Lepisosteus oculatus: one gene and its partners. The protein of the gene in region 2 binds, or shares a complex with, the protein of the main gene of each other region. Links are inferred from orthologs where the notes say so. Each region holds a gene or a part of one and is shown on either strand. Other genes may lie near its edges. The genes, in order: sarnp, thoc5, thoc3 and thoc7.

Region 1 (7,118 bases), on a different chromosome or scaffold from region 2:
GCACACTTGCACCCTTCATACGCGCATTAAAGTCTGCAGAGGCTTAGGGGGGTCTCATTTTTAAATTTGTGCGTGACAAGTGTGCTCATGAGCGCCTCCAATGCACCCATCTCTGAAGTCCATCTGAGTGGACCTCACTCAAGGGAATCACCCCTAATTCCGTGCGGAAGAGTGACGTTTCATGTTCTAGCCTATCAAAGCAGAGAGAAGTAGCGATGGAGAACAAAATATTCACATTAATAAAATTGCACTTACAGTTTTAAAACTCAGAATATTTTATGCAAAAAAAATTCATTGGGCTATTTGAGATTCTTACTGTATGCATTTTAAGATACGAAATCGAGACCTAAAGCTTTTATTTCACCACCCCATCACGACTAATGAATATTTGTTCACCTGCTGTGTGTTTTGTAAATGGAATATTTAATAGCACACGTATCTAACAGTACAAAACCTTGAGGTATTGTCAAGTTGACCTTCGCTTACTTTGAACGAATGTGAATTAACAAATTATGTTCCTTGTACTGTCATTTCAGTAGTGAACATTTTTGGTGACATATGAGATGAAATACATTTAGTAGTACAAAGCCCTGAATAAACAGAGAGTGGTACTGCCAGGTTTTCCTTAGTTCGCCCATTTTGAGTCGAGCCTGCTTAACATAGAATGAAAAACGGCGTGTCACTACTTTTGTGCAGAGACAGACGAGATGAAATCCAATCTCATCAAGCTGCGAGAGCAGAACGGACAATTCTTTTAAAATATTATCTGCCGAACTTCACTTGGCCCCTGGAAAAGCAGTGTCAACAGAAAGCGTTCTGACCCGGAGCTGTGTAACCAGCGAGTGCTGTCACGCAAGGGTGTCCCTTCACTCTTTCTAACGGTGCTCCTCAAATACTCACGCACCTGAAGTCCACACTTGCTCTACGTCACAGGAGTGCGGACTTGGGGGGACGGGCTTAGGATTTAGGGCGACAACTGGGACACAGCCCGTGTTTGCACTGGCCTGGAATGAACCCAGGAGACAGAGGGAGACTGTGGTCTTACCGTGCTCCTCCAGGTAAGCCTGCAGCCGGCTGATCAGATCACTTTTGTTACCTTTGACCTCCAGACCCCGAGCTGCACACTCCTGCTTCAGCTCAGCTAGCTGGGGGGGGGGGGAGAGAGAGAGAGAGGAACACAGGCGATTTCATCACTCTGGACAAGGGAGGGCTCCTGTGGTATATACTTCACTGCCCCCCCCCCTCCAAGACAGGCATTTCTACCATTTCACACCAGACTTAAAAGTAACTGCAAAGGAGCATGTGAAAGCTTATTTCACACTGCAAGGAAAAGAACTCACATTGTCCGTCTCTTCAGCATTGAATGAGCTTTGACCCGTTCCTTTGCAGCCTACGTATACTGACACAGCTTAAGTGTAATGGCATAAATGAAAACTACCTTTGTTTTAGATACAAAAGCAATAATAAAGTAATTACTAAAAAGTAAAAATCGTTTTACAGAAAATTTGAAATTTTCTGAATAGAGGAAGCACTACAGTGCAGTTCCTATACCCATAGAAAACAGTGAGAGAACCCAGAACCCAAGGGAGAGGGATATAGAAGGGGACACAGTCACAAGATCAATTGAGCATCTTCATCAGATCCAAAATACTGCTCTCATACTCTTGGCGAAACCAGTAAATGTTCTGCACCCGTGACTTGTAATTATTCCAAATTATTCAACCAGAAATATTTTCATCCATTGTTCTCTTTTCGTACCTTGGGTGGTTTAAGAAGAAGTTGCAGATGACTCACATTTATAGTGAGCATCTCATGTTTCCCACAAGCAGGATGTTCTGGATTTAATAGCTTTGAATCTGCAGTTGCCTGGGGCGAATCTCGGGCACGGGCCATGACCGCATCAACTGCCGTTCAGAAATGCAGAACTTGGAGATCAACTCTGCAATGGCTCCGGAAGAACAGGCCTCCTCGTGTTTAACATTCGCAGGTCGCTCAACCAAACCTTTATGGTAACTAATTGCTGTGCGAGTAGTTTTGAACAGAACGGTAAGCAGTGCAATTGAAAGACATACAAGGGATAATTGAGGGTTTCACAAATGACGGATATACAGAACAACAAACTGTATGATTTACAGTGGCTGCTGTTTCAGACTCGCTTTGAATGAAGAACGTGAACCCTTCAAACCGACGAACAAGATCAACAAATTAAGTTCGTTATTTGAAACGCATATCCTGAATCCTGAAAGCGTATCAAAGCAACAGCATGCAGGTAAAAACAGAACCACCTACACGTGAAACGTACTTCTTAACCTGGAAAGCAAAACAAAGCTCATCTGTTACAATCGGTCGCGTACACACAAGGTTGGTTTTTCTTATGTGATGTAGGTCGCAGCCAGTGTATACGATACACAGGTAAAACAGGAGTGTCAAATAAAAAAGGTCTGATGTTTTTCTACATCAGCAGGCCAGGTAACAACCCTGAGCGTCTCTCCAGTCTTCTGCAAGCTCTGCACCGAAGGCCTTTATCCTAGCAGCGTGCGATATTACAGTATTTCGCCAAGCGCAGTGCAAATTACAACTGAATTTGGTATATGGTTTATAGAGTATTTGATTTATAGAGTCCAAATACTAACACATGCTTAACTGGAAGCAAACAGCACAGGAGTAATCGACTGGTTAAACATACAGTACACATTCAGCCTAAATTGAACATAAACCTGTTTGGTAAGCATTCGACTGGGCGAGATTTGAATTGCAGCTTCCTTATAAAAACCTCTAGCCTACTTCATCCTCCAACCTACTAGAATGATAAGATACTTTTTACAGAAAGCCGTATTACTCAAGCGTGAGTGCTACACACTAATTTCGAGGCTTATTTATATATTTTTTTACCTTAAGTTTATGAAGCTCCACTACCTCGGCCATCTTGAATCAATGCTTCTCCGGCTGCTTCACAAACAGCCAATCACGTTCGACTTTACTGCAGCGTTAGTGACGCTGATGGGGATTGGCTGAGAATCTCCAAGTGTCTTTACAGAATGGGGTCAGGTTTAATGCTCTGACGTTCAGCCTTAAATTAAACATTGAATTTCTCCAAACGTGTCAGTAGATTAATCACATACATTTAGTTTAGGTGCATGATATTACATCTTGCGAGTCAAAAAATATTTTCATTTATTGTATATCGTCATATAAAATAAACACGATTGCACACAGTACTTGGCGCTTAAGTACTTTACACAATAAAGTATATTCCCCCTAATGCATACCACTCAGCCTCTGTACTGTGGACAAAGTTTTTTTGTTTCATTCACTTGATGTTAACAATGTTGTGACTATATGTATATACCCCTATTTATTGTATTTTCCATTTTTGTATTTAAAAAAAAAACTTTAAAAACAACTCAGCCTCTCGAAGTCATACCGGCCTGATTAGCTCAGCTTCATTTGCATATATTTCCCAGAGTGCATTGTGTCCTGAATAACACGCTATAATTTTTCTATGTAGTAACAAAAAACACATGAGTTTAAGGTAAAGGGAATGGGGGTTACAGCAGTAATGTCTTCGTGTATCAGCCGTGGAAAACTGGACTTTTCATAACGTCCCATATTGTCTAACCATGACCCTGTAATATCAGCTGCTGAAGCTGGTCGCCGAGGCACAGAGAGCAATTTCAGTACACTCTGGTTTCTCTTCAGATCGTATAAATCTTTCGCCTTTTACTAAAGATTTCCGTGGAGAGGAACATTATGAGTCTAAACTAATTTTTTGATCGCCCTGCCTCACGGCGGGGCTTCCAATACTGGTAAAAAATCAGAACTTATTTAACAGATAGATACTTTATTGAATCTGTGAGGAAAGCTGCAGTACAACAGCAGTTAAATAAATACAACGCCGTCACAGTATAACGAAATGTTTAATAATAGTACAATACATACAACACAATACAAGAGTTACTCACAGTCCAGATACACAAGAACAAACTAGAACAGTACACAGAAAATCGTATCAGACATATGAATATAAATATAGATGTATTGCACAAAAAATGGTTGTAAACGGGAAAAAGAAAGAGAAAGAGAACAGATGTAGCAGTAGTACAGTCTAATGGCAGAAGGCAAGAATGACCTCCTGTAGCGCTCCCTGTCGCACCGTGGATGAATCAGTCTATTGCTGAACGGGCTCTTCATTCCTGCAAGCCTGTCATAGAGGGGATGGGAGAAGTTGTCCATGATGGTCTCTAGTTTGGACATCATTCTCCTCTCAGCCACTACCTCCAAGGGGTCCAGGTCAGACCCAATGACAGAGCTTGCTCTCCTGATGAGCTTGTTCAGCTTTTTGGAATCCACTGCTCTAATCCCAGAGCCCCAGCACACCACTGCGTAGAAAATGGCACTCGCTACCACCGACTGATAAAACATGTGCAGCATCTTACTACACACATTGAAGGACCTGAGCCTCCTCAAGAAGTAAAGTCAGCTCTGTCCCTTCTTATAGATGGCCTCGATGTTCTTAGACCATTCCAGTCTATCGTCGATGTGCACTCCCAGGTCCTTGTACGAGTCCACCATCTCCACGCCACTCCCATGGATGTAGACAAGAGTAGGTTTGACCTTTTTCCTCCTGAAATCAACCACCAGTTCCTTTGTCTTTGTTACATTCAGTTCCAAGTAGTTCACCCCACACCACTCCACAAAGCTGCTGACCAGTCCTCTGTACTCCTCCTCCTGCTCACCCTTGATACATCCCACAATTGCAGAGTCATCTGAGAACTTCTGCAGGTGGCATGACTTTGAGTTGCACTTAAAGTCCAAAGTATAGAGGGTGAAGAGGAATGGAGAAAGAACTGTCCCTTGAGGTGCCCCTGTGTTACTCACTACCTGTTCAGACACACAGTTCTGAAGTCTCACAGACTGTGGTCTGCCTGTCAGGTAGTCAGTGATCCACGAGGTCGAGGAGGCTTGCATCTCCTCCAGCTTCCTCCTTAGAAGTAAGGGCTGGATGGTATTGAAGGCACTGGAGAAGTCGAAAAACATGATTCTTACAGTGTTGCCAGCCCTGTCCAGGTGTGAGTAGGCCCTTTGCAGCATGTAGATGATCGCTTCCTCCACACCAACATTGGGCTGGTAGGCAAACTGTAGGGTGTCCAGTGATGAGCTGACCAGGGGTCTCCAGTGGGATAAAACCAGCCTCTCCAGTGTCTTCATGATGTGAGAAGTCAGTGCAACTGGTCTGTAGTCGTTGAGGACAGAGGGGCGCCCTTTCTTTGGTACCGGGACCAGGCATGATGTCTTCCAGAGCGTGAGTTAGTATAAAATGCTATTTCTTATTTTACGCAAGTTTAAAGCCACAGTATTATCATTAGTCCAATAATCATGTGTATTGGCGATATAAAGAACAAAAACTAGCCTGTTCCTATATGTTGATTGTCAAGATTAGTGGGGAGTTTGGTTTGAATACCTACCTCTATTCTTTTCGAGAAACAATTAGGCGTTTTAAAGAAGTCAGAAGCGCTGTTTCATGCGTCAGCTGAAGGAGAGGGCTTTTTTACAGCACAGCGTCCCGTCACTAAACTGGGGCACTGGAATCCACACAGACCGCAGGGTGAGCGCCCCCTACTGGCCCCTATTTTCTTTTACAATTTCAAGTCTGCAAATAATGCATTCTTTCACGATTCTTTTACAAACGTCCGACGCTGACTGCATGATTCATTTAAAACACAGAGGCTTGATCCCCGCCACTCCTTACTCTGTGGTTTTCCTCACTCTCTTCTAAACAACTAGCATTATGGCCAAAACTTGACAACTAGACTTCTAACTCGCACCAAGTCTTGGCAGCATATCACTCCTACACATCAGCCTCTGCTTTCCCATAAAGTTGCATATTTAACATAAGGTCTTGCTAGTTAGAAGAGGAGAAAAGAGACGAAAAGAAACACAACGTTTCAGCTGTGGAGCCTTCTCTGGGTGTCACTTTTCAGCACGGAATAAACCTTTACTGCTTCCTGGTGTCTCTCCTGTTGGGGCAGAGGCGGCTTGCCGGCATGCCCTTTGTGCCAGGGGTGAGGGCCACTGGAGCACGCCCTCGACTGTTGCCCGAAAGCCCTTGGAGAAGGCTGCTATCGGTGGCAGCGCGACCGGGGGCTGAAGCCCTTGGCGGACGCTATTAGCGGGGATATCAACGACAGCAAACATCACCAGGCCACCGAATCCGTCAGAGCCGGTCAGCAGCCGCGTCCGCTGTGCAAAGTATCGGCGGGTCTCCTTGGCAACGGCAAGACAGGTGGGCCCCTGACCGCACTCGGGCTGGACGTTGTATTGCTGTGTGAAGCATCTCGGCAGCCGGCCGTGCCAGAGCGGACAGGTCCCCGCTGGAGGCTGGCGGAAGGAGGGAGTCAGACATGAAGACCTGGTAGGTCTGCGCTGTGGGAGGGGGTGAGCCCGTCGGGGGGGGGCTGCAGAGGACTTGCAGGCCAGTCCCTCTGTGTCTTTTGGACGTAACAGGGGTGAGCAAGAGGAAAGCCATCCAAACCGCCAGAGAGGCGGTTGGAAATAGTTGAAAAAAGGCCTTCGAAACAGATGAAACCCACCACCCATACATTACTGTAGATCCCGTCCCCACCACTTCATTTCAGTGCTGTTTTCACTTCTCTCTGCCCCGTTGTCCTCAATATAATACATGAATCCTTGGGCACTGGTGTTGTACCAGTGGTTCTCAAAACTGCTGCTATCACCCCTGTGCCACAAAATCTAAATCTAAACAATTTTCGCCCCATCTCCAATTTTCCCTTTCTTGCACAAATTCTAGACTGTGCTGTCACATTTTCAATTACATAACCACCTCATTGTTAATAACCTTTTCAGACCCCTCCTATCTGGCTTCCGACAACTTCACACACAGAAGCTGCCCTGGTCAAAGTCACTAACGATCTTCTAATGGCTTCTGATTCTGGCTCTCTTTCTATCCTTATTCTTCTTGACCTCACTGCTGCTTTCAACACTGTTGACCATGACATCTTACTTTCTCGTCTTGACCTGTGTTTGGAGTTTCTGACACTGCTCTTAAATGCTTCAAGTCTTACCTCACTGATCGCTGTCACTTTGTCTCTCTTGGCAGA
Region 2 (6,895 bases):
TACTGGTGCACTATGGCTGCTGTCACATCATCCAGGTGGGGCTGCACACTGGTGGTGGAGGGGATCCCTATTACCTGTAAAGTGCTTTGAGTGCAGTGTCCAGAAAAATTATTATTATTACCTTGATACAGAATTACTATATGTGAACTTGCTATGTCACCTTTTTTATAAGGGGTGCAGCCCCTGTGGGTTTGCAAAGATGTCGGCACCTCAGCGTAAACGATACAGGATGCAGTTCACTGACCTCAATGACTTTAGCTGCCCCATCAGTCATAGCCAGAGGACAGGTGTAGAGTCCAGCAGAGGGAGAGCAGAGGTATAGTTTGGACATCTGGTAAACACGGCTAAGGAAATATACACCAGTATCATCCACCTAATTTGACACTACTTTTGTAATACAGGATATACATTTTAGGCCTTCAATTCGTCTACTTGAAAATGCTGTTTTGTGAAAGACTGCTCAGTATCATCTTTCATAACATGCTGGATAACTTGTTCCAGACTCCCACAAACTGCTCAGTCAAAAACTGCATCCTGTTCTTAGTTTTAAATTCACTTCCTTGTAGTAACACATCTGGACACTGCACTGTATGATTTCCGAGAAGCAATGTTTCCGTGAGGTCCACAAATATTTTGTGGTGTATAATCTGTGGTGAGTAATTTTCCACTGTTCTCTTCAGAATGATATGTATCCACTAGTGTTATATTCATCAACATCAGTCTCCGTTAGCTGTTTCAGTGATGCCAATTGCATTCTAATTGCATGCAAAATTACAAGAGATATTAGCAATGGAGTTGCTTCAATGTCTTGTATTTTATTCCTAACAATCTTAGCATTAAGATAGAAGCATTTAATTACCTGTGTAATTTTGTTTCATATGATTAATACAAGATCATACTGTAAATCACAGGGTTATTATTTGCTAACTGTGTCATCCAGTTCAGGGTTGCAACGGATCCTGCTGTTTATGCTGTGAACTTACAGCAGGAACAGAGAAGGAGATCCTGACACTAGAATTTGTGATTGCATATTTTCTTTCCTTCTACTGTGCTAGGAGTCTCCATATGAGGAGAACTAACAAATGCCCATTCCAAAACTCAGGCACAAGAAACCACCAGATGTGTGTGTCACCCTACCTCCAGTCACGGAAAGTCCTCTCGTAGCCAGCAGCCACCAGCCCCTCCTGGGCCGAGATCTCCTTCATGCGGCCCCAGGCGGGGCAGGTGAGGATGCGATCAACTCGCCGACCCCAGGCATCACAGTGTTGCAGGCGGGGGGGGGTCTCCTCACACTGCCGGCCCAGAGCGTCCACTTCACTGCAGATCCGTTCCCCAAACCGCTCCAGATCTGCCCCGACCGCGCTCACAGCCTGGAACGCACATACACTACACATGCCCATTCTGTTCTTGTAATGCCGCTATTCCTACCTGAGTGAAAGTAGTGTCCCAGGGGCATCAGGAGAACCCGAAAGCAGGCAGAGCAGGCAGGCTGGCGTGGACAGCAAGCAGGCAGAGCAGGGTGGCATAATGAGCATGCAGGCAGAAATAAACAGTCTAGAACGTAAGGTTGTAGCTGAGAGATAAAGAGGCAAAGCATAAGGGGAATCCGAAAGCAAAATTAAAGTCAAGAGATGCCAAAAACCTGAAAGTATAAGCAGAGCTGAGAATGCCAAAACTAATAACTGAAACTCTAAGACTGAGCGCAGAGAGACTGGTCTAATATTGACAGATCCCAGTGAGGGCAGTGTGGTCATTAACTACAGACGGGTGGAACAGATTTTTAACCAGAGCTCGTAGTCACGGCAATCGCCTGATTGACAGGTCTTGTTGAGGCTCCGTCGGTTGCTGTGTTGATCCTAGCGCGTCCTGTCGTGCTCCGGTGGGAGCAAGCATGACAGTTTTAACATAAGCATATCATAAGCTAATCCAAACCAGCTTCCATATTGAGATTGGAGTAGTTTCACAGACCACGAGTGGCATGGAAAACAATAACACTGCATTCCTATATGGGTCTACTTCCAAAAATTATTTCTTCGTTACATTTTTAACGACATCTGATCAGATTTCGTTTTGCACTATATCTAATTTGTCACCTCACAATGAAGTCTTAAAAGTCAAATAAGGTGAGTGCACATACCAGAATACGTACAGGTATCTATTAAGCAGCAATAAAATGACGTTGCCACCGACTTCTTTGAGGAGCAGAATGTTAACAGCTCATCAAGGTTTTGAGAAAAGACGTTTCGAGCCAGGCTGTGTATGAGGTCAGACAGGCAGCAGAAGTACCAGTCGACTGGTGTCTTGAAAGTCTGTGGATAAGGGTTTTCTCCTGTCTATGCCTATAAAGTGGTCAAGGAGAAGTAAAACCAGGCCCACCTGAGCAGGGAGGTGTCTTCTCAGGTAGCCCTGGAGCAGAGCGTCCTGCAGAAAGGGGTTCCTGAGCTGGGGCCTCTCCTGGAAGAAGCTCCCGATGGAGGACCTGGAGAAGTGAGGCCGCTCCTCCTCCTGCGGAGCCTCTGTGCGGCCCCGCGGAGCGGTGAGGTGCGAGCTCCCTCTGCTCGCCCTGCGGCTCCAGGCCCCTGCCGCTGGCCGCCCAGCCAGGGCCAGCCTCAGGACACGCGCGGCCATCAGGCACCTGCAGCACAAACGACCTGCCAGTCGCTTGCCCCTGCTTGTGAAGTGAATGTGAGGAAGCATACTGAGCTGTCTTCTGAGAACCTGTTGTCATCCGTCTTCGTTAATTCACAGTAAAGGGTGCTGATGTTTATTTACGAGTGCTTATTGCATGTCACTACAGCAGGATAGACTCAGCTTTTTCAGCTCCGTTAAGTTGCCCTCCCAACAAACAGCACAAACGATGAAACATCGATGAAACATTCATTAGTGCTGCATTTGTGCTGCTTTCGTTCCCAAAATATAGCGCCTTGTTTTTCGGGTGATCAAGTGACCATGCACGGTGACTTTGACCTCCAGTGACCCCGTCTGCCGAGTTCAAGCGCTGTTACTGGTGCGAGAGTAACAATTCTGCAATTGTGTTTCTGTTTGCCCGGTTGGGGAGCGGTAGATTTTGCATTAACACCAGTATCTTCTGTGCGTTTGTGTGAACAGAAAAATTTAATTTGTCTTCAATATCATACCCTCAAGAGTTGCAGGTGTAGCCTTAAAAAGCGAACATTAGCGAGCAACTGCATATTCTTTAAAAAAGCCTTTAACTAGTACATCTCAATACTTCGTAGCTCTTTCATTTTATAAATCAGAAAAAAACAACAAGATTCTCCTTGCGTTCTTTAAGGAATGCGGTGGGTTTCATCGTTTGTGCGTGTGTGTGGGGAGGCAACTTCACGGACCTGGGGCTTAATAGGGATCAGTGGCTATCCAAAAACGAAGGATAATAATGTTATTATTGGCTGTCTTGAGATTTACAATCATTTTTAATTATTTCGCCAGCGTATGTAAGAAAAAAAACACATTCTTTCTACATTATCAAGCTCGGCACGTTGGTCTATAATTAAATGAAATTTACGTGTGCTTTTTCTAAAAGATAATTCACGACAGTTTATTCGCCTCCATTTCAAGTTCCCTGCATTATTTAAAATATAATGAGCAAAACATATTTAAACCCTAACTGTACTTTGAACTATAGAGGAATACAAGAAGTAGATTAAAAGTTCGGTTTACTCCGATTGCAAAGTTATCTTCACTTTATTACTAATGTGTTCCTAAAAGGGAATGAGACTGACAGCACGTGTATAAATTCTGTTGTTAATAAACTTACCACACATTACCTTTCAAGTAAACTCTACCTACGCCTTGATGTTGTTGATCTCTCTCTTCCGCCCCCTCTCGGCCGGAAAGGTAACTGCGCTGCCCCGGGATCCCCATCCGGGTCAGAGGTCAAAGTTAAAGTCCTCCATGTTTTTTTGGGGGGGAGTTTAGGGTAAGTGTTGTGTTTAGTGAATGAAATGTTATTTTTAGTTGTTTAAAAAATACAGAGCCTTTCGTTGCCGAATTTGTGAATAAGGTTGGTGGGTGCATTGATGTATGGCTGTTTGAAGTCTGCGATAAGCAAACGGCTTTTTCTTCTGTACGCGTATTGTAACTTGTGAGTCGAAGCATTTTAATTGATCGCTGCTGCTAAGGAAGAGCCTTTGTACCTTGTTTACACTCCCTGCCCAGGAGATAAAATCTATAAAACGACTTGCAGATTAATTTATGTTTGCGAGTTGTTATGTGCGTTGTTCCTGAAAACAGAAAGCCAAGACGGTGATCATCTCGGGTGATTATGTGAACTGTCGTGGATGCGATTTTAGCAGTATTAACAAAATCAGTTATAACGATACTCCTTTTATTTTTACTTTGATGTCCCGTTGTTTGTACATGTCAGTACTGTGAGCTACCGAAGCTTAACTCGTTTCTAATATATATATTTTGAAGTCCTTGTTAAATCCATTTGTACTTTTTCTTTATAACTATGTTCACAATGGTCACTAGTTCGCACGTTCAGGACTCTGAAACCAACTGGGAATGTGTTAAACTAGTGAAAGATACAGGGCACTTGCTCTTATATCGTCCTCACTGTTGATTTTTATATGTGCAGCTTGAGACCTCCTGTGTACCTCTTTCTGCCGTCTTTGCGTTTTAACAGCACAATTCCATCTGCTCTTCCTGTAAGAACTTGCCTGGAATTGGTGAATTGAATTAGCTAAGCATGCTGTTAACGTGTCTTAAAGAAGGATAAGTAACTGTAGCCAATAAGGATCGGATTTCTGTAGACATTCCTTAGGTCTTACAATAACAGGCTGCTTAAGACTTAATACATGCCATTAACTAAATTGTTAAAGTCAGTAATTAAAAAATCTCAGGCCAAAAAATTACTTATTGGATAGTTTTATTTAACTCAAAGGAATTGAAACCATTTTGCTATAGATGGGGATCCACTTTGTGACCTTTGAAGTGTAGTAGCCAGTTACGCTACAGTATGTGCTTGTAGCCCCATTGCTACTAGAGGGAGAGAAATGAGTTCAGTTAAATTAAGAGCGAAGCCTTCATTACTCTTCTGAACAGTCCCATTGATTCTTTAATGATCAAGTAGTCAGGACCTCCCCTGCAGGTGACCGCAGCAGTGTCCTGTAGCAGGTGTGTGTAGGTTCCTCGTAAGATAAAGCCTGAGCTTTCAGTTTTGTGGTCATCTTACTTCAGCTGGGACTTACGGCCAGTCCATTACATATACCTTGCTGACCCCCTCTTCTACCCTCTCACCAGGAGCGCTCCTAGAATCGCCTGCAAATGTCGGCCGACACCCTGAAGAAGAGGAAGCCCAAAGTGATCCGCAATGAGGGTACCCCAGAATCAAAACGCAATAGGGGAGAGGGGGACCAGGTGAGGGTCGCTACTGGAACTGTCGAATCAAATGGCAGTGGCACTCATGATGCAGTAGATGGCAGTCTGCCTTCTGGGCCAGCAGGCTGGGCTGTATCAGCAGTCAGAGAAGGACTTGGCACTGAGACTGAGAACACACCAGCGGATTGATTGAGATTGTCTGATCATAGATTTTACAGCTACAGTGCAAGAAAGGCAACCCTGCTATAATGAGCATCTTGCTACAATATGACTTTCCTGTACTAGGTCAACAGTGTGGTGTCCCACTGTAGCATGTAGTCTGCCATTTTGATCCCAGGAGTGCCTGCCCATTAGTGTGTCCTTCCTGCTTCAGCTGGGGTCTTTATTTTGAAGCATTACTTACAGTTGTGATCATAAGAGCACTATCGGTGGTACAAATCACCCTCTGTGCCTCCTGAAGGGCTCAGCCGGCAGGCTGGGCTGTGATTGTGGGTGTGAGCCATAAATCGCATGACCTACCATGGTCTCTTATGGGGTCAGCGGCCTTGAACCACTCAGTCCCATTTACAACAGCTGAGTGAACTGGAGTAATCAGGTTGCGCCTTGCTTACTTTTTCCGGGGGGGGTTTCTGCCACAGGGGCCTGAACCTACGACTCTCCACGTGAGCCCTAATCGCTGGTTATTTTGCTGTGCTGCAGGACGTGAGAGTGTACAATGAGGAGGTGGAGCTGGAGAGCAGGGATACCAACCAGGACTACACTCTGTACAAGCAGACCTGTCAGGACCTGGCCAAACTCATGGCTGAGATCAACGAGCTGAAGACCAGTGGCAGCAAGGACAATGTGAGCCATAGTGCGACATCTCACACTCTGACACTTTGAGCGATTCGTCTGTGATGAAGTGCAGGAGTGTTGCAAACCCCAGAAGAGACAGTGGGCACCCAGGAGAGGGCTGGGAGCTGCTGCCTTAATTGATCCACCTGCGTGGCAGCAGGAGTTGGCCGGGGCTGAATTCTGCAATGCTGGGGTATTGTGGTGGAAAGCAAAGTCTTCAGAATTGCAGCTTCCAAGCATCACACTTTGGGCCTCCCTACTCTGTTCCCTCTTACGCAATGCGTCCAGGCAGGAAGTGGCAGGAGCTGCTGTTGACAGCCACAAGAGCTGATTTTCTATTTGTTTCTTTTCCTCCTGTGTCTTGCAGTCGGCAGAGATTGAAGAGAAGCGCATGATGGGGTGCATCCACTTCATGACCCTGAAGAAGCTGAACCGGCTGGCTCACATGAGGCTGAAGAAAGCCAGGGATCAGACCCACGAGGTGCGGCTGCCTTACGTTCCTGTTCTTGGGGGTGACAGGGCTTTTCCTGACCGCAGTCACTCAAATTGATTGGAAGATATGATCACTTGAACTTAATAGGAGGTCAAGTAAAAAAAATCAGAAAGTGTTAAACTTGATTGATTAATAAGCTAACGGAAGTGCAAACAATTCTTTTCCTAGGTTGCCAAGAACATTTATTTTCCCTAAGACATTGCTTGATTGACTTGGTCATCTCCAGTC
Region 3 (7,206 bases), on a different chromosome or scaffold from region 2:
ATTTCAAGCATGAAAGTTTCCCTTTAAACTCTGAACAAGTCTTTTTACAGAAATGGGCAGAAATGCACTTGATTTTTTAATTTGGTTTTACTGCATACTTTCGAGGTTTTCTTATTCATCAATATTTTGTTCTGTCACATCCCAGGAGACCCCATAATGATTAAAGGCAGCTGTCACAGCTTCCCAGCAATGAGCTACTAGAAATGATTACAGGATAGAAGATGCCTTCTATCACGATTCTAAATGCTCATTTTGTTTTCTCTGACAGATGACAAGGAGAGTGAAATGAGCAAGGTCTCCTCTTCTGAAAGCTTGAATGCCAGGCACAGTTCAGATTCTGGCAAGGAGCCTATTGCATCCTGCAATGAGGGCAGTGTGCACAGCTCTCGGGCTGACAGGGGCACAGGAGAAGTGGTGGCTAATGGCTGCTATGGCAGGTAATTGCCTTGACCTCTCCGTCGTATACGACACATTGTTAAACTGTAAGCATCTTGACTTTTAATTCTCCAGCTGCTCCTTTTGTGTTCTGTTTAGCAACTGAACACTGAACTGAGCAGTCACATTCTCAAATTTTTGCTAAATTGGCACTGTCCGAATGCCAAGTAGCTCTGTAGTAGAAGAAAGACACTCTGTCTGCACACATGCACTGAAAAAGAAAGTTTCCATTTCTATCAAATTTTGCGAAAATGTTCCTATTCCTGAAAAGCAGACATCCTCACATTGGAAAACACCTTCAGTTAAACTTAAAAGTATCCAAACTAACTACCCCTTACAGGTTTATGCACCACGACTTGAATGCAATTATGGGTTTGTTTGTTTTTGGAAGTTATAAAGAATGCTTTTGTTACTTGTGATCTACAGTGGTGAGGACAATGAGAAGAAATCAGCAACTAAGTGCGCACAACCTAACGGATTTAGCCATGCTCTTCCAAACCGTGATAAGCATGGCATCCAGACTGCAGGCTCTCCGGATGGCCCCCTCCCTGTGAATGGTAGCACTGATGCTGAGTGTTAACCTCAGCAACAGGGCACAGGCAAATGGCTGGGGTAGGGGGAGTTGGGGTGACAGCTGCACAATTTGCACACCATTTAAAGAACAAAGGTTTTTTTGTATGTTTAGATAACATGATTTCAAAGCTTTAGGTTCACTAGACGTTTTTAGATGCACATGCTGTCTGCTAGCGGGGGTTGGTGTCTGCTTAAGGAATGCACTGTTGTTTGGTATGTAATGGATGATATTAAGTTGTTTTGTCTCTCAATCTTTTATTAGACTAAGGCACCGAAAAGCAGGAGAGCTCAAAATTAGGTCTTCAAATGAGTACCCAAGCCACACTAAATTATCTTATACTGTAGTTCCATGAATTTGTAAAAGATAGGGTTGAATCCCTATTGTTCTTACTGTAGGTTTCCTGTTTTGAAAGCTTTGACTTATAATCATATTTTTGTGTTAACTTATTAATGCTTTATTGGAAATCAGGATTTGCTTCATATAAGAAAAAAAAACACAAACACGTTTTACTTTCAAACTTAATTTATTCTTTAACTCAGTAGTTAAGGTGTCCACATTCCACTTAAATGCACTGCCTGACATTTAAACAAAATAAAAAAAAAGTCACACAATTATATGGTGAACTATGCTAAATTATATGCAATGCTAACTTTTGTGCACAGATGTCAACAAAACAGTGATATACATAAAAGGTTTGCAGTCCTGTCGATATTTTTGGGACAGCTTTGTCAGATAAGTTTAAGTGTCTTCTGCCTACCTCCTTGCAAGAGAATTCACTTGCTTGTCAATCCAAAAATTGTAAACCAGAATGAAAACACTAAAGGCTAAGGAAACACAAATGCTAAAAATGTCTTCCACATTTCACCAAAGAGGTAGTTGTACTGCTTTGGTTACATAATATTCCAGAGGTTCAGCACACTTTAAGTGCTGTGAGTTCCCTCTGTTCTAGATACAAGGTGCTACTGTATATATTCCAGTTCCATTATCGTTTCATTGCTGGAGTATGGCTACATGTAGCAGGCCCACCAATACAATTTGGAAGCAAGAGTATCCCACCAAGACCTATGCTATGCACAGAGGTAAAGTCTAATACCTCTATGTGTTCAACAAGAAAAAGCCTTTAAGTCTGTATTGCACTATTAGTTTTTAGGTAATTGTTCTCATAATTCAAATCAGACACCTCTAAAAAGATTTCATAAGTGAAAGTCTGAAATACTTTTTTTTCACTACAACAAATTAAGCCTGAAGACACCACATTGACAAATGAAACTTCACCTGTGCTCTCTCAGTGCTTATGCAGGTTATTAGTGAATCGCAGCTGTTAAAATGCTCCCATTGAACAAAACACCAAATATACCCTTTAGAGTTTATGCATACTCACCTGTTTAACTGAATATATAGAGGTTGCTGTACTCTCTTATCATTCATGAATTTGACTACTGAGGAGTTGCTGTGTAGATGTTTTTTTTTTCTATAGTCCCTTTTTTGGAGGGTACTGAATTTTAAGTTCAAGTAAATAATTTCAAATCAAGAACTAATTTCTAGTAAAACAAGATAAAATCTCCTAAAGGTTGCTCCCTAGAGACCATAAATATTGTCAGCCTCCCTTTCAGGTAGTCCAAGTTCTAAAGTACTGTTAACATTTTGAAGTAAGCCTATGTCTATTCATTATGTGGCCAGATGTTAATGGAACAGTAGACTTACTATTACATTTAACCACAGTATAATGTATTGCACCTGATTGTTCACCTTTTTGTTGCCATCTAATGTTCTGTAACACTGTATGGTAGTGGTTTGTGTGAATATGGGTTTGCTGGCTCCAGATTACAGTGTACACTTGAGATGTAAAGACTTGCAATGTGGTATCATCCTATTCTTAGGTTTCTAAAACTCTTCACCGCTTTCCATTATTCATATAAGTTTTTTTAAAAATTTGCAACAAATAAAGTTTTGGCAATTTGAGTGCTCGTCTTCTGTTTTCATTACTTCTGCTTTTCAGTCATATTTTCAAATGACTTTGTCTCAGGGGAAAAAATAGTGTTCATCTTTTATCAGAATGTTGGAATAATAAAATACAGCTACCATTTTTTATAACAAAGACTACATCATTGGACTTTGCTTTCATTCCTGAGCCTAGAGAAAAATAAATTTAATAAATTGTAGCTGTATTGCACCATTTTTGAAAGCGATAAAAAATCAAGTTATACAGGAAACATAAAGGAGAAGCATCGTGGGTTTGACCGTGTTAGGATTCCAGATACTGTACTGAATGTATAGGACTACAGTATCTGGACTATGTGTTTATACAAAAATGTGTCAGAATTATTCTTACTTATAAAGAAAAACAAATATATATGTGAGCAATTCACTTTAGTGAAATAACATTAAATATTTTTTTCCAAAATATTGGTCGACAGCACATATTTTTTCCATAACTCACGCTGTAGATAAAGATAATTAAGTTTAAGACTGTTGTGTCGCATGACCTTTTTTTAACCTGTTTGGGTTTCATGAAAATACCAGAAATTCGTTTGGTAACATTCGATACCATGATAAGCACATATTCAGATTTTTCTTTTTGCTATATTTATGATATTTTGCTTATCCTCCAAATTAAACAATCAAAACGTTTTAACTGATGCTTAGCAAGTTTATTTGGGTAAAAAACAGGGTTTTGCATGATTTCTGCACAGTCTTAGCAAAGATAAATCAGACGAATACAAAGATGGAATTTTTAAGGCAATAGTTTTATTTATACTGTCTTGATAAAAATTAAATTAAAAACATTTTTAGATGAAAAGGCTTGGCTGAGACATTGCTTGTTCTTATACTGCTCGTCGGCTGTGACATCACAAGGAACCTATGCAGAAAGTAACAACCGCCCTTTTCTAAATCGTATCACGCATCAGAGAAGCAAATGGAGGTAGCATTTAATGTAAAAAAAAACCCTATGTAACAATTGTAAACTTTAATAACTGTTAAATAAAAAAGCAAAAGCGAGTTGCGAAACCATTCAAACCCTGACTACCGCAGCTAGCTTTCGAGACTGTGCTAGGTGTTGTAGACGACACATAACAGACCTGTTCTAGAAGAGCTGTGTAACGTAACTGAAAAAGTAAATTTTGTGCAAACCTACAATCTGCCGCAAAGATGCAAAACGCAACAACTAATATTAAAGGTAAATTCGTTTTCCGGTGCCGTATGCGACTCCATATCCGCCCTCAAAGCTGTACACCGGAACTTCACCAATCCCACAATGCACCACGTCGCTGGGAAAGGAAGATCAAATCTCTTCCGGCGCACTTAAAACATGGCGTCTCAGTACTACCAAGATATGCAGGAGAGCTTCAGAAATAACAACAAGAGTCGAGAGTTCCCGGCGCACAGCGCTAAGGTTCACTCGGTCGCATGGAGCTGCGATGGCAGGAGGTTAGCATCTGGGTCATTCGATAAAACCGCCAGTGTGTTTGTTCTGGAAAAAGACCGCCTGGTAAGTGAGGGTTTGTTTTCGAACATTGCCCCCATCCTTTTATTTATTTGGAAGAATGCCATCTGTTTACTTGCTTTTAGCATCTTAAAAGACTTGATTTACAACTTCAGTAATGGAATTTTTTATTATCTTAAGTTATTAAATTAACGAATATATTTACAAATGAATGAACCTACGTGTCATGTCACCGTTGAAAGGCAGATGGCGTAGGTGCATTACGTCTGAATTCTGTCTGGTCGACTCTGAATTGATATTTCGTACAATTACGGTAGATGAAATATGAATTATATTGTATTAATTGGCTCTAAGGTACTACACCTAGTGAAAATAGTGCCAATGCTATTATCATTATTATTATTACATTATTACGTGAAAAGAAAATCATTCCACATCAAAAGTCTGAGCTCTGCATCTAAAAGTTCCATTATCGATAGCTCCGCTCATCTGTATTCGGTGTAGGTTTGCAATGTCCTAAAGTAAAATGTTTATCACGAATAAAGTGCCATTTTATCTAGATATGTGTGTTAACATTCTTAAGTGGATGTATCCGTGACAATTCTGAAAAATGTGAAGATGGATCTCTTTGATAGCTGACTTTAATCTGTTTTCAGGTGAAGGAGAATAACTATCGAGGTCATGGAGACAGTGTGGACCAGCTATGTTGGCACCCTACCAACCCAGATCTCTTTGTCACTGCTTCTGGGGACAAGACAATACGCATCTGGGATGTTCGGACTACAAAGTGCATCGCGACTGTCAATACTAAAGGTTCAGAACAATATGTGTTTTGTTCAGAGACTCATTGATAAAAACACGCTGAAATGTGTATATACAATTCCTTGCATTTACATTGCTCTTTTAATCTCAAACTATCTAGAAATGGACCCACTTCATCTACTGCTCTAGTGAAACACTAATCTGGGTATGCACTGTTGTCCTGCTGCAGTGTAGATCATTGAGAAACTACCTCACCTATTGAGGAGGAAATTCTAGGAGGTTGGACTGGGCAAACTGGGCAGTGACATTACTGGAACAGTCTCATCTTACACTATCATACACCTGTTACATTTACTGATTTTTGTTTGCTGTTGACATAATCAGAGTAAACATTATCTCTATTGGAGGCATTAACTAACACGGGTGATTGAGAAATTACTGTAATTTTCTGAACCAACCTTTAGCCTTAGTTTGAAAGAATACATGAAACCATAATGTAAAGTTCAAATATAAAAAAGCATCTTTTTGTGTATTTTTTGTTAATTGAATATTCGAGCAAAAGTGGATTTGTCCCATGATAAAAATGTTTGTTGGTCACTGTTGTTAATGGCAGTCTGGCTGATTGCTCATGTGCTCTTTCTGTGGCTAGGGGAGAACATCAACATCTGTTGGAGCCCTGATGGACAGACAATTGCAGTTGGCAACAAGGATGATGTTGTGACCTTTATTGATGCGAAAACCCATCGTTCCCGGGCAGAGGAACAATTTAAGTTTGAAGTGAATGAGATCTCTTGGAACAACGATAATGATATGTTCTTCTTGACGAATGGTAACGGCTGCATCAACATTCTTAGGTAAGGGAAAGCAATCTTTCTGTTCGTCAAAGTGATGAATTGTCTTTAATACAGATGTTTGAAAGAGCATAGGCCACTACAGTGTTTGTGTTTTAGCACATATATTCACAAATCATTTCCCACAGATACTGTTATTTTTTGCTATAATTGGTCATGTATATTGTAAATGTATAGCATTTATACAGTTAAGCATATACACTATAATTGGCTGCATATCAGATTTAGTTTTTAGGACAAGTGTAAGTAATAGTATTTTTTTATTAACTCCCTGTGAATGAAGGTCACAGAATGATTGGGATGTGCAATTAGTGAATCTTTTTAACACCTTTACTAGTGATGATTATAGTGAGTTCTTCTGTTTCAGTTACCCAGAGCTAAAGCCAATCCAGTCGATCAATGCTCATCCTTCAAATTGTATCTGCATAAAGTTTGACCCTACTGGCAAGTACTTTGCGACAGGGAGTGCGGATGCACTTGTTAGCCTGTGGGATGTGGAAGAGCTGGTTTGTGTCCGCTGCTTTTCCAGGTGAGTCCATACCTGCATGAACCCTGACTAATTCCAATTTTCTGGTTATAATGTAGTTCCAGTTGAACTCTTAGTATTTTCCTATATGGGGTGATATTATATGTATGAACATCTATTCTGATGTTTTGAGAAGAAAATATTCTGTTTGTACTATGCATATTATATATTGACTATTCTTATAGCCATAAAAAGGACCCATAATACAACAATACATCTGTTCTAGATTCTCCATTGGTATAGTGCCTTCATGTAGGTGTTTAGAAGTAATTATTACAGAAATAAGATTTCTTTAACAGCAGGTTAGGCCTCTGTGTGATATAATTTTTGTGTGACATTTAATTGCAGTTCCTGCTGATCACGCTGAAATGATTGTGATCTGAATTGAGTCTGTGATGCATAAGATGAATGTTAGAATTATTCCTTATGTTATAGAGGACCTGCTGTGTCTTCAATATATTCCATACTGATTGATTAACCTTTTTTTTTCTGAGGCTTGACTGGCCTGTTAGGACACTGAGTTTTAGTCATGATGGGAAAATGCTAGCCTCAGCATCAGAGGACCACTTCATTGACATTGCTGAGGTGGAGACAGGTAAGCATCTCTGACCTG
Region 4 (7,551 bases), on a different chromosome or scaffold from region 2:
AACGTACTGCGAGTCGTCGTGTTGTCGAAAATCTCTGGTCTCAGCATGGGAGAGAGCAAGAGCTCCCTCCCTTCCTGCTCACTAGCCACCGTAATGACTAATCTACTGCGATGTATGAGTGAATAAGTACAGATTGTGCTGCAGACATTTCATCGCAAAATTGTTCCTATGGGATCTCAAAGTCAAGAGTCAATATTCCTATTGGATTAAAAAAACAAGCAAGCTTGTTTACAACATAAAAGGGCCGTACTATGTCACCAGACATTTTGCTAGCTTGTTCTAAATTGCAGAATATGGCACTATGCATACCTGGAAATCTCGTATATTTTGTGACGTAAATTGGAGGTTTTACAAGTTACTGTTTACGTTTTACTTATCTTATGGTTTGAAATGTACTCTTTAATGCTGATTCTTTCTAAACCCAAAACATAAAAATAGCACTGCAGTTCCCCTTTAACTTACACATCTCTATCAAGTGTAGTCTTTGAGAGTTCCTATCCATATTAAAGTGAAGGTATAAATCACCATTTCTAAAGGTTAAGCAAGTAATTTGTGCAATTAACCATATCTGGTCCTTGAGGGCCGGTGTATATCCAGATATTTGTTGCAGCTTCCAGGTGATCTCTAAATTGCTTAATTTAACAAAATGCCTGCCACAGTCTCTCAGTTCAATTGTTTCTCAAGTCTTCATCCAGATGTTTATGGTTATCTACAAAACTTGATGAATTAACGTTTTCAAGAACAAGACTGAGAGACCACAGATACAGATGACGCATAACTATGCGTGGTCTCTTTTATAAAGAAAAGGAGGCCAATTTTCATTACGTTTGCGCCTGCATATATAAAAAGTGATTTAATTCTGTATTTCATTCTGCCTTTTATGAGACAACTTTACTTATATGTACATGTAGCATAAGACATTGGATAAAAGATTAGCTACTTAAATACAAAAATGAACTGAGAAAGCTAACTGCTGCACACAACGAAAAAAAACAACTGTGGCCTAAAAATTTAAGCATAAGCATGCTAGCTGAAACAAACAGCCACAAGGTGTAAAGGACTAGAATAGGACAGATTCAGATTACCTATATCCGTGTATATTTTTTCATAGTTTTCCATCTCCCGGAGGTTCATATCATAAACCAGCAGGGTCTTCCCCATGGAGAATTCACACTGTGCCAGTGTACCTAGCATCCTCTGAAACTGGGTGTACCTAAAAAGAAAGACATTTCACTGTTTCCTGTGTGCACCTTGAAAACAATAGGATATGTTGCCAGCCTGCTTCCTGCTTCAACTGAAGTGCCAGTATGTGATCTAGACAATGAAGTGACCTTTTGTGAAACCACTGACTCATTCTACCAACAGTTCACAAGGTGCTTGTTTCTCCAGAATAAATTGCACTGTCGTGCCACACATTTCAGACATTTCACCTTTAATGTGAACAAAACCTTCCTAACCGCATGCAACAGGCACATATAGTAAGCAAATACATTGTGCTATTTTAGGGGAAAATGCTTTAAAACAAGGGGTTTAATCAATATAAAGAAAATGCCATGATTAAACCTCTCCATTTGGAGTTTTCAGTTTTTGATGAATCTGAAGAAAGTATCTAGGGGTTCTGTATTGTCTTATGCACTACAAGTGCAGCTCTTTTATGTAAATTTAATCACTGAGTAGACTGTATTGCTTTCATTTGAGGCATTTTTCAAAAAAGAAGAAAAGGAAATGCAACTATGTGCACAAATTACACGGTTGAAACAACTGTCCCATTTTCACCACATAGGCATGGCATCAGCTGTTAGCGTCCTGATGTCACTTGCAGCTGCAATGTCAGGTGGTTTCCAGTCCCTGTCTTGCACGAGTGTCTGGTCTCTTTAAAGTACCAGCTCCTGGAGAGCTGCTGTAAAACGGGTCCAATCCAGTCAAATAATGATACGACTGAAGTTAAGAGCACAGCTGGACTGAAAACTCATAGAATTGACCCTCTAGGACCAGGACTGGGAACTCCTAGCACAAGTAAAATGAACAAATAAACAACTACTTCACAGCTGTGTTGTGCTGAGGAGAATCCACATAGATATGTGCTGAAATGCAACCTCACAGTGCAACCCAGGAAGAAAGATACAGTATAAGACAGCAAACACCAGGAAATACCATCAAAACATTATGTAAAAACGTATTTCCACAACCTGTATACAGATAAAGAACCAAGACATATAGTAGACTTATTAATCTGACAAGATACCGCTACGAAGGTAGAATGGGGATGTACCTTGTGCTGGACACAGCAACAGATATACACGCTAAAGATATATGAATTCGGTACGATCAAGACATTAGGAATTTTACTAGCTAAAACAACACAGCTCTACGGTCAGTTTTAAACCCATGACAGAGCTCTCGGGGTTGGCTTCTGAGCAGTTCCCCACGTGTTTGTTTCTGAAGAAGATAAACTACTGGTATATGGATCTGTATTAGAGTCAACGAGTTAGCTACCCTTCCTCCGGGGCTCCAGAATTGCACCACTTGGTAAAGCTTTTCAATAGTACATTGATGCGACGATCGTCACCAGCTCCATCTCCGTCAATCAGAAGTCGTTTCCGGATAACCTCGTCTGGAACGGAGAAAACAAAACAGATTAACTATCCAAAGCCACAGAGGCAGGCGACGCGAAAAGCGAATTCCTAAGTCAATTGCCTGTAATGCCATTGCTACAAAAAAGTTAAAAAAAAACACGTGTGTTCAATAGTGAACATTGAATTATAAAACATTCAGTACTCATAGTAACTTACCATCAGTAACAGCACCCATCACTTCGACAATTTACTTGTTTTCAAATGAAACTTTATTGACTGCAAAAGCTATACCAACCCAATTCACAAAAGAGATAAATAAGCAGTATGCACCCGTCTCCGCCTGTGAGACCGATTGCGTCGCTTTGTCAAGGGGTTGGAAAGACCAAAACGCTTTGCGGTTAAAATCGTTTGTCGTTTCCGTAAATACTTCTTGTTTGTCTGCCATGTTGGCTCAAGTTTCCTGTATTTTCGTATGCCAACGCCGAGGCTTGCTCAGAGCCACAATGGCATCAGTTGCGTAGGCCTCTTGGAGGTGCTGAAGCCTCGCTAAGCGCCGACGTGCAAAGCGTGCGGAAAGAGTGACGTATGTCTCCCAGAATGCAGCCTGGTAAACAGACATGGAAGCCCCGGGTAAAGACCTCCACAGTCAGTGAGCACTGTGTTCGCTCTTTATTCGCCATTCTCACCGCTCAAATTTAGCTACATTTAACAGACTGACATCCCGAAGGAGCTTTTGTATCTTTTTAAAAAAGTCCCGGAAGCAGGTAAACACGGATAAGGTTTATTTCTCTGTCTGCAGTCTGCTAGTGTTCTTGTTTTTCTTAAATGACAATGAGAAACAATTTAGGTAGCAATTTACACAAACCACCAGTAGCCCGGTGCTAAGATTGTTTAATGTGGCTATTCGAGTATTTGTAGGAGCTTTGTTCATAATAATGGAAGAAATTGAAAGTAACAAGTTCTTAATCCTTTTCAATACACAGTAAGATCGTCCAGTAAATTAGAATTGTTGTTTTATGCGGAATACTCCTCGTTAAATTAAGTTAAACGCTGAAAACTTGAAACTGTGCAATATGTTTTATGTTTTAAGATTAAACATAGTTTTTCTTGCAGGTCTGATTTTTGCTGTAATGTCCTGAATGAAGCTATAGATGTGCATCGTTTGTTTTCTTCGTGCTTTGCGACTTTTCGTAGAAAGTAGTAATGATTGTTTTACTCTTAGAAGTATTCGGTGAGTTTTGGAAACTGCTGAAGGAAACAGTGGAAAAGCTGGCACTTATTTACCCAGTATTTGTAAAATGCTACATTATATGTGGTAGGTAAAATAGTTACTACAAGCTCTGCAACAAATTATTTATCTTCCGTTATATTCCGCGTAGATCTTTGTTCTCGTAGTTAGTGAGAATTTAGATGAGTTTGGCAATGCTGAAACTCTTAGTTTTTTCAATAATCTATGAAAACTTTAAGAAGGAGATTATTTTCTCTTGATGATTAACGTTTTAATGTAAAACGCAGATATTTCTTGGCGGGGGTTTATGTAATCTCTTCAGTGGGACAGCCTGTCATAGAAAGTGGGCATAGAAATACAAGTATTCCCTTTATCAATTCAAAAATGCTAATACATGAGCCTGTTGTTGAAGGTTCAAGCAGACATACTTAATCTAAATAGCAAAAGAAAGTAGAAACATTAGCTTAAGGTTTTATTTTAAAATATTAGCAAGAACGTATGGGTTTTATAGTAAGGAAACTGACTCTCAAGACCATGCTACCTAGCTTGCTGCTTTCCTGCATTGGGCTATTCCATGTTGAATAAATCAAATTCACTGAAGTTTGTGTTCACATGTTTTTAGTGTAGTGGAAGTGTGAAGTCAGGTTTGTAACAAGGTCAAATAAGGTTAAATTGTCGCATCTTAGTTTGTTAGATTGTGAGCTCATCTTTCAGTTTTCAGCCAAACAGTGACTTAAAATTTAGGAACTGACAACTGGATATATTTTTTACATTTGGACATCATAGCTACATGAAATGGTGAAGTTATAATTATTTTTCAGTTCTACAGAAGATGTATCTAGCCAGACAAGTGATTTTAGAAGCTTATGTATAGATATATGTATTCTAAATTTTTAAGGCAAAAATGTTTAGATATTCAAAATCTCTCCAAGGCTATACTGTATGTATTGTAAGTATGGCTGTGCTCTTTCACAAGAAAAGTGTTCCAGTAGATGTTCATCAATATGCTTAAATTCATCCATTCTCTAACCTCTTCTTCCAATTCAGGGTCGCAGGGGATTCGATCCTGGCAAGCAGCAGGAAAAAGGCAAGATACACCCTGGACAGGACACCAGTCCAGTGCAGAGCATACACAAACACACTCCCAATAGTGCAAATTTTCTCAGAAGCCAGTTAACTTACCAGTATATTTGTTAACTGTGGGAGGAAACCAGAGCACTCAGAGGTAACCTATGTGAATATGGGGTGAACATACAAATTCCACACAGATAGCACCCCAGGTCAGGAATTGAAACCAGGTTCCCTGTACTGTGAGTTTGGTATAGTTTATGTTTGCTTGTTCACGCTGGATTTCTCAGATAAAAGGTATTTCTACAAACCTACCACTGCGTCATGTCGTCCACATGAGCTAAAAGATTTGGTCTAAATATTCAACCTCTGTCTTCTACTACACAAATATTAGTGAAATTAAAATCATGACTTGGGAAGGTCTGATTGACTTGACACAGAATGACGCAGCTCCAGTTGTTAATTAAATGCTTGCATTTGTCTTGCACTTTCTTTTTTATTCCCAAGGATTTCAAAGGATCTCAGATATAGGAGAAGCCCCACTTCTTGCACTGAAGTGCATCATCCACCAGTGTGTCATGTGGAAGCATTTTTGTGCTGGCAGCCTCACAACAGAGAATTTTAGGTAAAGAGGTGAAAAATTACTTCACCTTTTTAATTGAAGGGGAAATGTAGGTAGACCACATTGTGAATGCACAAAGCAGATTTTAACTAGGGCACCAAGTTTAAAAATCCTATTAACAAAGTTTGGGATATTTAACTTAAGTACTCAAGACCTCAGTGTGATGTCTTATCCAACGGAATACACCTCCTGCAGCATAATGTTACCGCACTGGGGTATTGGTTTAACATTTGCCTACTGGTGTAATAGCATCACTTATTGTTCACACAGCCTGGCTCTATCCAGCACTGCCTGGGCCCAGCCTTGCTTAGCTTTTGAGGTTGACGAAAGCAGGCTACAATGTGATAAAGATTCTGAGTGATTCTGTGACATTGTCAGGTTTATTTTTTACACTTTTTGGTGTTTCTGCTGAAATGTGATCCCTGAAATAATTGTGATTGCATTTATATCAAATAAATCATAAATTGACCATTTACAACTACATTTTATTAGGGAAATCCAGTTTGAAAAAGCAAACAAACTACACCAAACTGCAGATCAGAACATTATGGTAATGAATGATAATTGTTAGTTCCAAAATCTCTTCATAATGCTACTGAGAATCTCAAAAATCAGGCTTTTCAGTCTTTGGCTAGTTTTAGAAACAAGGCTGGGTTAAGGTTCAGCAGACTAGGCACATGCCTAGGGCCACAATATTTAGGCCCAAATTAACTTTAATTTCACCTTGTTACATACCTGACCTCACTCTTCCACTACACTAAACACATGTGAGCACAAACTTCAGTGAATTTGATTTATTTGACATGGAATGGCCCAATACAAGAAAGCATATGTGCTAATTATTCAGTTTTCATTTATTGATAAAATGGTGGTATAATGGTAAGCATTGGTTCCTTGCAGTGCTGGAGCCCAGGGTTTGATTCCAGACCTGGGGTGCTGTCTGCATGGAGTTTGTATGTTCTCATGGTGTCCTTGTGAGTTTCCTCTCACAGCCTAAAGTAATACTGCTGGGCTAATTGGCTTCTGGGAAACTTGGCCCTGGTAAGAATGCCTGCGTGTCTGTGTGTTTGTCTGTCTGCTTTATGATGGACTGGTGTCCTGTCCAGGGTGTACCCTGCCTTAAGCCCGTTGCTTACTGGAATATGCTTCAGCTTCCCCATGACCCTGAATCTGAAGAAGTGGGTAGAAAGTGGATGGATTATTCAGAAATCACCCTAGATTTGATTTTCTATGTCATGAGATCTGTTTAGTAATTTAATTATCCATACATTCTGTTACTTTAGCTATTGCTCCTAGGTACAAAGAAACTGTAAAGATGTATTGGCTACATTTGCTCGCTTTGGCCTACCACTTAAAAATGTCTGAGCACTGAGGCACAAAAACAAAGAAGTCTGTAACTCACTGATTAAATTAATTACAAAGCATTTTCTATTGAAAGACTTTATATCATCTGTGACTGCCTAATAATTGAACTGCAGTCAGACTTACAAAGAATTAGAGTACAAAATTGGATTTCTGCAGTTTATTTCTTTGAATATTTGCGATGTTTATGTAGATATAGAAATTGTAAAACAAAACTTCTGTGTTCTGAAAAGCAAAGGCATCAGCAGTGAACATGTACCAGCTAGGCCTGAGGGACACATGTGGACACTTGCCTTTGTATGCACACAGTCTCTAGCTGTTAGCACTCTCTAGCTGTTCTGGAGCTGTTCTTTTTATTTGATGAAACTTGTGAATAATTGCCTCCAATCAATGGTGAAAGGAGGAAAACTAAATGTATGTACATTGTTAGCAATTTAGAACAGTTTTACAGTGTCCTCATATTTTGATGGAAGTTATTGATAAGTTTACCAGCAGAAAAGGAAGAAGAAAGGTATTTTAAAAATGAGTGATGGTAATGCTTGTAATCTAACCATTGAGCTGTCTTATTAAATATATGTATAATTTATTTCCTCATTAATACCGCTGCAAATTCATTTTCACTAACAGTAACATTGCTTTTGTACTGGTCTGACTTGTTAATTTTCGAGCATGAAGACGTTATTAGATAACTGTGC

The links.
Region 1: thoc5 (region 2) and sarnp share a complex: the UniProt entries of both Homo sapiens proteins name them as parts of the transcription/export (TREX) complex. The link is inferred for Lepisosteus oculatus from reciprocal best matches to the Homo sapiens genes THOC5 and SARNP.
Region 3: thoc5 (region 2) and thoc3 share a complex: the UniProt entries of both Homo sapiens proteins name them as parts of the transcription/export (TREX) complex. The link is inferred for Lepisosteus oculatus from reciprocal best matches to the Homo sapiens genes THOC5 and THOC3.
Region 4: the proteins of thoc5 (region 2) and thoc7 are in contact, whole or in part, in a cryo-EM structure (PDB 7APK), measured with the Homo sapiens proteins. The link is inferred for Lepisosteus oculatus from reciprocal best matches to the Homo sapiens genes THOC5 and THOC7. Residues at the interface, in NP_001002877.1 of Homo sapiens: Pro48, Asp51, Tyr52, Tyr55, Cys59, Leu62, Gln63, Met66, Ala67, Gln70, Phe95, Lys99, Leu101, Asn102, Ala105, His106, Arg108, Leu109, Gly112, Arg113, Gln115, Thr116, Ala119, Lys120, Val123, Tyr126, His127, Leu130, Leu133, Glu136; in NP_079351.2 of Homo sapiens: Ala21, Asp23, Ile27, Leu30, Val31, Phe34, Tyr50, Met53, Leu54, Leu57, Cys60, Glu61, Met64, Gly65, Thr67, Leu68, Val70, Tyr71, Asn74, Met78, Tyr81, Ile84, Tyr85, Ile88, Glu89, Ser91, Ile92, Ala95, His96, Lys98.

Annotation. Positions count from the first base shown.
Region 1 is NC_090696.1:14,511,479-14,518,596, reverse strand, and holds the start of sarnp (SAP domain-containing ribonucleoprotein), read right to left. Parts: upstream 3,003-7,118; 5' UTR 2,926-3,002; coding exon 2,893-2,925; intron 1,146-2,892; coding exon 1,046-1,145; intron 1-1,045. UniProt on the Homo sapiens protein: Binds both single-stranded and double-stranded DNA with higher affinity for the single-stranded form. Specifically binds to scaffold/matrix attachment region DNA. Also binds single-stranded RNA. Enhances RNA unwinding activity of DDX39A.
Region 2 is NC_090717.1:14,292,235-14,299,129, reverse strand, and holds the start of thoc5 (THO complex subunit 5 homolog), read left to right. Parts: upstream 1-3,882; 5' UTR 3,883-3,937; exon of another isoform or gene 3,938-4,021; intron 4,022-4,252; exon of another isoform or gene 4,253-4,276; intron 4,277-5,262; 5' UTR 5,263-5,286; coding exon 5,287-5,379; intron 5,380-6,039; coding exon 6,040-6,183; intron 6,184-6,541; coding exon 6,542-6,655; intron 6,656-6,895. Other genes in the region: acyl-CoA dehydrogenase family member 11-like, read right to left, coding at 245-344, 1,138-1,370, 2,377-2,628. UniProt on the Homo sapiens protein: Component of the THO subcomplex of the TREX complex which is thought to couple mRNA transcription, processing and nuclear export, and which specifically associates with spliced mRNA and not with unspliced pre-mRNA.
Region 3 is NC_090706.1:35,586,382-35,593,587, forward strand, and holds the start of thoc3 (THO complex subunit 3), read left to right. Parts: upstream 1-4,196; 5' UTR 4,197-4,319; coding exon 4,320-4,499; intron 4,500-5,110; coding exon 5,111-5,267; intron 5,268-5,865; coding exon 5,866-6,070; intron 6,071-6,434; coding exon 6,435-6,596; intron 6,597-7,087; coding exon 7,088-7,188; intron 7,189-7,206. Other genes in the region: shtn3 (shootin-1), read left to right, coding at 269-437, 862-1,015. UniProt on the Homo sapiens protein: Component of the THO subcomplex of the TREX complex which is thought to couple mRNA transcription, processing and nuclear export, and which specifically associates with spliced mRNA and not with unspliced pre-mRNA.
Region 4 is NC_090699.1:48,898,252-48,905,802, forward strand, and holds the start of thoc7 (THO complex subunit 7 homolog), read right to left. Parts: upstream 3,016-7,551; 5' UTR 2,812-3,015; coding exon 2,793-2,811; intron 2,615-2,792; coding exon 2,497-2,614; intron 1,214-2,496; coding exon 1,086-1,213; intron 1-1,085. UniProt on the Homo sapiens protein: Component of the THO subcomplex of the TREX complex which is thought to couple mRNA transcription, processing and nuclear export, and which specifically associates with spliced mRNA and not with unspliced pre-mRNA.